2 linked regions of the Bombyx mori genome follow. The protein of the gene in region 2 purifies or fractionates together with the protein of the main gene of each other region. This does not show direct contact. Links are inferred from orthologs where the notes say so. Each region holds a gene or a part of one and is shown on either strand. Other genes may lie near its edges.

What was found.
Region 1: the proteins of multifunctional methyltransferase subunit TRM112-like protein (region 2) and alkylated DNA repair protein alkB homolog 8 purify together in Homo sapiens (co-immunoprecipitation; 3 studies listed by IntAct, with this or other methods). This does not show direct contact. The link is inferred for Bombyx mori from reciprocal best matches to the Homo sapiens genes TRMT112 and ALKBH8.

The regions. Positions count from the first base shown.
Region 1 is NC_085119.1:16,153,089-16,157,644, reverse strand, and holds the start of alkylated DNA repair protein alkB homolog 8, read right to left. Parts: upstream 2,935-4,556; 5' UTR 1,532-2,934; coding exon 1,436-1,531; intron 1,238-1,435; coding exon 997-1,237; intron 828-996; coding exon 510-827; intron 330-509; coding exon 170-329; intron 1-169. Other genes in the region: phosphatidylinositol N-acetylglucosaminyltransferase subunit A, read left to right, coding at 3,705-3,707, 3,821-4,556.
Region 2 is NC_085117.1:12,729,439-12,732,674, forward strand, and holds multifunctional methyltransferase subunit TRM112-like protein, read right to left. Parts: upstream 1,442-3,236; 5' UTR 1,256-1,441; coding exon 878-1,255; 3' UTR 513-877; downstream 1-512. Other genes in the region: DIS3-like exonuclease 2, read left to right, coding at 2,595-3,236. UniProt on the Homo sapiens protein: Acts as an activator of both rRNA/tRNA and protein methyltransferases. Together with methyltransferase BUD23, methylates the N(7) position of a guanine in 18S rRNA.

The sequences.
Region 1 (4,556 bases), on a different chromosome or scaffold from region 2:
ATCCTTTTAGAGTTGACACTACATTAAGACACTTATCAGTTCTAGATTAAAAACGTCATGAAGGTGAAATTCCTCAAGAAAAAATACACGTTTATAAATTGATGATGATAATGATCCTTATTACTTTGTACCTTTGTTTGTAACTTTGTCTCAGAAATGCATTTATTACCTAGCTTCATCTTGCATTATCATCATTGATCTAGCCTCAACCATAACTGGCACATATTTCCCTGTGTGATGCTTCCAATCCATAACCACATTGGAGCCCAGTGATAGGGCCAGAATTGTTTCTCCAAATGGACTGTGTTTGTCGACATGCGACGGGATACCTGAAAGAAAAATTTTGTATTATTATTATTTTGGATTATGTGGACATGAGTGTGTGTGTCATGAGGACATTACTACTAAATCAAGAGTTCAACAACAAACAATTTCTTAGTGACTGGAAGCGAGAAAATTAATTATGAAGAACTTTAGAAAATTCATATAATAAAGTAAATAAAAATCACCTTGCCCAGGTAAGTACTTGTTAACAGTCAGCTGAACTGGTACTCCGAGATCGTAACCATAGTGTTGGAGCCTTCTCCACAGCAATTTACAAATCTTTGGTATTTTTTCCTGCAATGGGCAACTCAAGTCAACGTCATTGCTGCCATATCTGAACTCATAACCATAATGTTTGACTTGACGGTTCTTTAATGTTGTTTCTACGTGTTGTATGTTAAAGGTATTAAGGAATAACTTCTCTTCATCTTCGGTAAGAAAATCGGGTATTATATGTAAGCCTTTAGGATTTGGATGCTTACAAATAATATCAGTATCCGGAACTGAAAAAAAATCTTCATTTCACAAATATAAAAGACAGTAATTTAAAAAGGCAATTATTTTATAAGATTATTTGTTATAGGTTTTAGTTAATTTTGTTATAACCAATTATGACAAAGAGATTTGCCTTGAAATAAGATAATTCAGTAATTCAATACATTTCCAACTTACCATTTTCAACAAATGTCACATAGAGTGTTGTTCCATTCTCATCTACCTGTGCTTTCCCATTGCATGCCTCATAAAATAGTGATGCATTCTCGGCTTTATCAAACATGAGATATGAGTAGGATTCTCCTTTCTCGGCAACAAACTTAGGCAATGGTGTGTTTACCTTGTACTCTGTGAGCAGTTTCAACAGTTTTTGCTTATCAAATCCTGTAGCTTGCCCCACATTGCAAAGAATCACATTCTGTAAAGATATAAGCAATTTACCTAGTTCCAAGCCATACAATACATTTAAAATAGAAGATAATACAAATTTGTAGCAGTTTAAGTACTAGTGTTAATGAAATTTATGTTTAAATTTATATCTGGACTATTTTAAGGGATAGCAAGCTAAAGATTTTAATAAACACTTGAATGTAAGCTATGGAAATATTTTACTTACGGGCCTAGGATCTTCATAACAAACAATTCCTTTCAGAGTATTCAATCGGGCAGCAAACCGTTTGCGTTTCTTCTCATGTTTTCTATCGTCTTCCATGTTGTATCAACACTAATTACAAATATATTTAAAGCTTAGTCTAACTAAGGGAGCACTGTCACAAGTAAAAAATACAGAATCTGATACAGAAACAAATGTTCACGTTTGCTTACTTGAATTTGATAATAAGTGTATAATCTATGATTGTAATGTTATGATTGCTCACGAATTAGGTAGTAGGTACCGTAAAATGGGGCGATTAGGGATTGAGAGGCGAATCGGGAAAAAGCCGGGAAAATCTTTCGACGCTCAATATTAGTTAAAAATTCGTTTCAAAATCTTCCATTTTTTGTAGTTTAATAGTAGAATGTTGAAAGTTTACAAAACAACTCTGAATATGCATGATAATAGCTGCTAACTTATAAAAAATCGCGTTTCAAATTAACTTTCTGTGGTGGTAATTATTTTAGTGCTAGAAACTTTGCTCTCTTTTATTTATTTGATAATAATAGAAGACGACTGTGATTTATAAACGTTATTTAGTGTTTGAACCATCATGTATATTAAAGGTAAGTCTCAGTTGTTATTGGTTTTAATGTATTTGATAAAATAAAAATACATGTAAAAAGCTGTTGTTTTTGGGGATATTGGGGACGTCTTAGGTACAAATAACAACGAAAAAGGGGTCAATTGGGATGAGAATACGTGAAATGGAAACGACCTAAGTATAAATAGGTACAGGTTTGTAGGGTTGTCTATGTAGTTATAACAATATTTTTTAAATTTGTTGGTAAAAATCTGGTTTATTCATCATGTTTTTGTCTAGAACTTTTATTCAAAATTATCAATGTGTTATTTTATTGTTTGGTAAATATTTATATTATCGGTTACGTATTGTTTTCTATTTTTAGATATGCCTCGCGTGTACGTATCAGAGTGCAAAGCCTTATAAGAGATATTATCCCTTAATATTAAAAACAGCAATTGGGAAATTGCCTAATTGGGAATAAGTCTTTAGTTGAAATAGCTAAGCAATTTAATATAAAGTAAGTCAAATTTGCACAGACATGTAATAAGAACAATGAAATCTCAAGGTGGACAAAAATGTCTAAGTAATACATAATAACATATTTAATATTTGTTCAGAGTGTCAGTTTTTCAATGTTTTTTATTGATGATCACTTTGTTGGTGCAACTAAATAAATAAATAAATTAAAACCAAGTAGTGCCCACCCTAGCAAATTTCTCATTTCGTCCCAATTAACCACAATTTCCGGGTAAATAGGGATTACACCAATTTTTGCTTTTTTTGCTTAAACTGGAAGGCTAGTTGCATAGTTTTAAATTGGACAACAAAGATGCCCCCAAGACTCAATCATTTTGATCCTGATATACCATTATATACATCAACAACTACCTTAAAATTGGTCATAAAGTTGGAATTTGTCCCTAATCGCCCCATTTTACCGGTACCGTACGGTACCGTACCTATCTATTATCACAAGTAATAGGTTGGGGAAAAGTCTTTTCGCATTATAGTATGTATAAACTTGTAATAAAATCTCTTTGGCTATATTTGTGTCTGGCCGGTTTTGGTATAATTAAAAGTTTAAATTTTAAAGAAGATAATTCCAAATTCGAATTAGGAAAATGTGTGATTTTTTTTTATTTTTCTCACTGTCAAGATGAGTGAATCTAATGAAGAAATTCGATACATTTTAAAATTTTACTACAAAAAAGGTAAAAATGCAACGCAAGCCGCGAAAAATATTTGCGATGTTTATGGACCTAGTGCAGTGTCTGTGAGAGTAGCACAAATTTGGTTTAAGCGTTTTCAATCCGGAATTTTTACTAAGGGGTCAATTCTCTTCATGTCATCCCGTACCTTCGGTGTTACTTTGTCTCACTTCATTCAGTTTTATTTAATTTCGCTCCATTTCCATTTTGAAACAATAGATTTAGGCTTTTTTATAATATTTTGTTGTATGGGCTAGATTCCCTTTGCATGTCCAAAGGACTACTGAAAAATGTGTGATATCTTAAAGTGTCATAGATAGGTTGCAAGGTTAAAATTGTATTTGTTAGGTCCAGAAAATTGATATTTCTTACACATAAATTGAATACTTTATTCTGTGAATAGTATTACAGTATGTTGGATTTGATGTGATATTATCTGAAGATCTACGAAATTTGAACTATTTGTACCAAAGAAAGGTACAAAACATTCATTTAAATGGTAAAAAAATCTTATTAATCTACTGGGCTTGTACATGTGAATAGATAATTGCTCCTTATCCTACTTTTTTCTACGACAATACTTAAATAATTAATAATTATTTAACTTTTCAGGATACTAGAAAAAAGAGGCAAGTTGTTTGTATGGCTTCAGATTTCTTTTACCCGAATACCGGAGGTGTAGAAGAGCATATATTTAATTTGTCACAATGTCTCATTAAACGAGGCCACAAAGTCATAGTACTAACTCACTCTTATGGCGACAGAGTCGGTATCCGATATTTAACCGCAGGCTTAAAAGTTTACTATTTACCTATTAGAGTATTTTATGCCCAGTGCGTATTGCCAACAATGATATGTAATATAGCTTTAATAAGAAATATATTGATAAGAGAATGCATTGAAATAGTTCATGGTCATTCTGCTTTTAGTGTTTTGTGTCATGAAGTATGTATTATAGGCAAATTAATGGGATTAAAAACTGTATTCACTGACCACAGTTTATTTGGGTTTGCTGACACATCAGCTGTACTGACAAACAAGTATTTACAAATATGTCTCAGTGAGATTGATCATTGCATATGTGTATCTCACACTGGCAAAGAGAACACAGTGTTAAGGGCCAAAGTTCAAGCTCACAAAGTTTCGGTGATCCCAAATGCAGTTGATGCATTTTCTTTCATTCCTGATCCATGCCAAAGAGATCAAAAATTTATAACCATAGTCATAGTCTCAAGATTAGTGTACCGAAAAGGTGTTAATCTCATGGCTGCCGTTATAGCAGATATGTGCCCACGGTATCCAAACTTAAGATTCATCATAGGTGGAGATGGTCCTAAGATGTGGCTAC
Region 2 (3,236 bases):
CATTACAGCCATAAAAGATGTAATTATACTATTACAGGTCGAAGTCTCAATTACTTACAATAGTGTCCTAGCTTTTAAACTAGTATGAAGTTATCAGTATTAACGTCCTTGAGGATACAACTAAGAAGTACCATCTTGTTTAAGGTACAAGTTGAAAAAGTGTCCGCCTGTATACAGCAGGTTATTGTTTGAAGCTCACTAAAATAGTATTAGTACAGGTAGTGGTAATTGAATTAATATAGCAGCTTTAAATAGAGTAAAGTGTGCAGTAAAGGCTATATTCCAATATACACTGCGAGGACTGTTCAGTCCTCTTACTGGGGCGAAATTCGTTCCGTTGACTGACAGTATACAATCACCGTATCATAGGGAAATATATAATGTCAGAAATTGTCACCATTTTTCTACTGTGAACACTGGTATTTTCTAAGTAAGGTGCCCTCAGTGCTTTGTACATGTTATCACGTTTACAGTACATAACCTCATTTCAATAATTCAGTTAAGTTATTATATAAATTGAAAAACAATATTTTCTTTATTGAAAGGATACTTTTAGTATACAACATATGCGTAAGAAAGTTTTCCCCAAATATTTATCAAGAATCCTGAAGCAGCCTCATACTGATTTTACCTATTAAGCAACTTAAAATTTAGTATACAAGGATTACATAAAAATCTTTCACAGTAAATTATATTGTAGAAATTATAAAGTAATGGTACATTTCTTAAAATATTTAATATGAAACAAATTTACATGCACCATAGCACTTCTTTACATAAAAAATAAAACAATCCTATGTAATGTTACTGCAATAAAATTAATGCTTAAATAAAAAATTTGTTACTAATATTTTTAGTACAGGCTCTAAATTGTGAACTACTGCACTTCAGCTTCATTTAATAGCATATTAGGAATTCCTTTAGAAATCGGAAATTGTCTTCCAGATTCTGGACAAGTCAAGTGTCCCTCTTCAACTTCCACCTCTAACAAGACTTTATGAGCTTTCTTCAAAAACTCTTCGTTTTCATCATACTTATTTTCTAAAGATCTTGGCAGACCATCACTGTGGCCGATGCTATCAGCGGCCACCCATAATACTTCCCAATCCAGCTTTGGTATTACACGACTAATAAATTCAGGATTAAAATCGACTTCTTTAACTTTAATGTCTGTCGCGTTAATTGCAAGAGGATAGCCAGTCACAACACCTTTCAAGCATTTCGAAGTGAGCATATTGTGGGTAATTAGTTTCATTATTATATTTGTATTATGCAACTTCAGTAGGAATTGAAGTCTTGACAATAATAGCTTTTCACGAGTAGAACCAAGCGATTAAGATTATTGGCACTTTTTTGTAGAATTTTCTTAAAACATATTTGTTATTATGTACTTTACGTGCATAATTAGATATTTGAGGTTATGTTTAGTTTTTGTTCAGTTGTGTAGTGAGTAGTGACCTGACAGCAGTAAGTAGTGGTAGTTTTATTTTTCCAAATGGAAAGGCAAAGGTATCACACCATACAGCCTAGTCTGTTATAGATTTTTTTTTTTTTATGAAATATATTATGAAATGAAATGAAGCTGATTAATTTAATGGCATGGCATGAAATGAATTGAAATGAGATGAGATGATAATTATGATATGGGTATTTTTATGAAAAATGATGATATGGAGTGAAATGAAGAATTTGAGACATTAATCAACTGGGATGAAATCAAATGAAATGAGATGAGATGAAATATAATCTCAGTAAAATGTTGGTCGTTTACTGAGATTTTTTCAATGGACGTTTTGGATGATCCCGATAAGTTACGTCCAGCGGCTTTATTTTATTTTCCCACATTTGTGCACTTTCAAAGATACTAAACAGTTAATAAACCACCGTTATTATGCATTTCAATCTGAAGAAACACTAAATAGACAAAATAAAACAAATCACACAACTTCACTCCTCGCGTTCCCGCGAAAAAGTTGTAACTTGTTCACCTTTTCAGTCGTAGCTCGAGGTGATACTCGCGCAGAGTATAATAAGAAAGTAATAAAATAAATAATGGATTAATAGTAATTTGCCCGAGTCTCTTCAATGTAATCTATTAGTCTATTATTGTTACTACTTTTCGAAAACTGGTACAAAATTTTTGCGCCTCGAGGCGATAAGCCAGGTTCACCGAACGTGTAGGCTCAGCATGGAGAACTTACTAGCACTAGCTTTAGTTAGAGCGGTGCTTCTCTGAATCTACCACTGGACCAGAATCGAGATTCTCTGAAAAGAACTGGCGAGAAACTCAGTGGGCTCTGTCTGACGGTCAATTTACTAGCTTGACCTTTCTTTGCATTCGGAAGGGATAAGCATTTATATTAAATTGTTGAAAAAAAATATATTTACATTTTTTAAATTAGAATGGATATAAGGTCTTGTAGCCGTTGGCCGTACATAAATATTTAAAAATATTAAATTGAGTATAATTCTGTGTAAAATTATTGTAAATATTGAGGAGAAATGTAATCATTCACATTTATAGACAAAAGCAGCAGGCTTGTAATACTCCATACCTGCTTATAAGTATTTTACAGTTTTTATTTTTTTGCGCCATGTCAAGCCATAACTCATTAAGAATGGATGCAGCATGCAGTGAACCAACAACATCGGTGGTCTCCACGTCGTCAGTACCACAAAAAACATCAAGTGACAAAGCAATAAATGAAAACAAAGTCGATTCACCTAAACGAACACCCAAAAAATCAAAAAAAAAACAAAGATCAGAAGTTACAGTACCTACCATGGTATTCAACAATTCATCAATTAACGATGTTTCCAATAAGTGCCAGAATTTGCAAATTGAAAGCGACAGTGATAACGGGGAGACAGAACAGGTAACCCCAACTACCCCGTCGAAAGGAAAAAACGCCAAGAAAAAGGAACGACTAAAAAAGTTGGAAATACCTACGGTACCAGTGAATAACTTTAACAACACAAACAGAGTACAAAATTCACAGTATTTATTTAACTATTTTGGGTCTCCTAGAAATAGTACATTCTCTGTGCATGAATATTTTACCCAACAGATTACACCATTGTATGCAAGTACCAGCTCTAGGTATTTAGAAAATCTGTGTCACCATCCACAATATCAATATATGCAGAATATCCAACACATGAGAGATATTTTACAAAGCCCAGAGCATGTTGCTAGTGTACCTATCACTCCATTAATATTATCAGGACAGAGATCA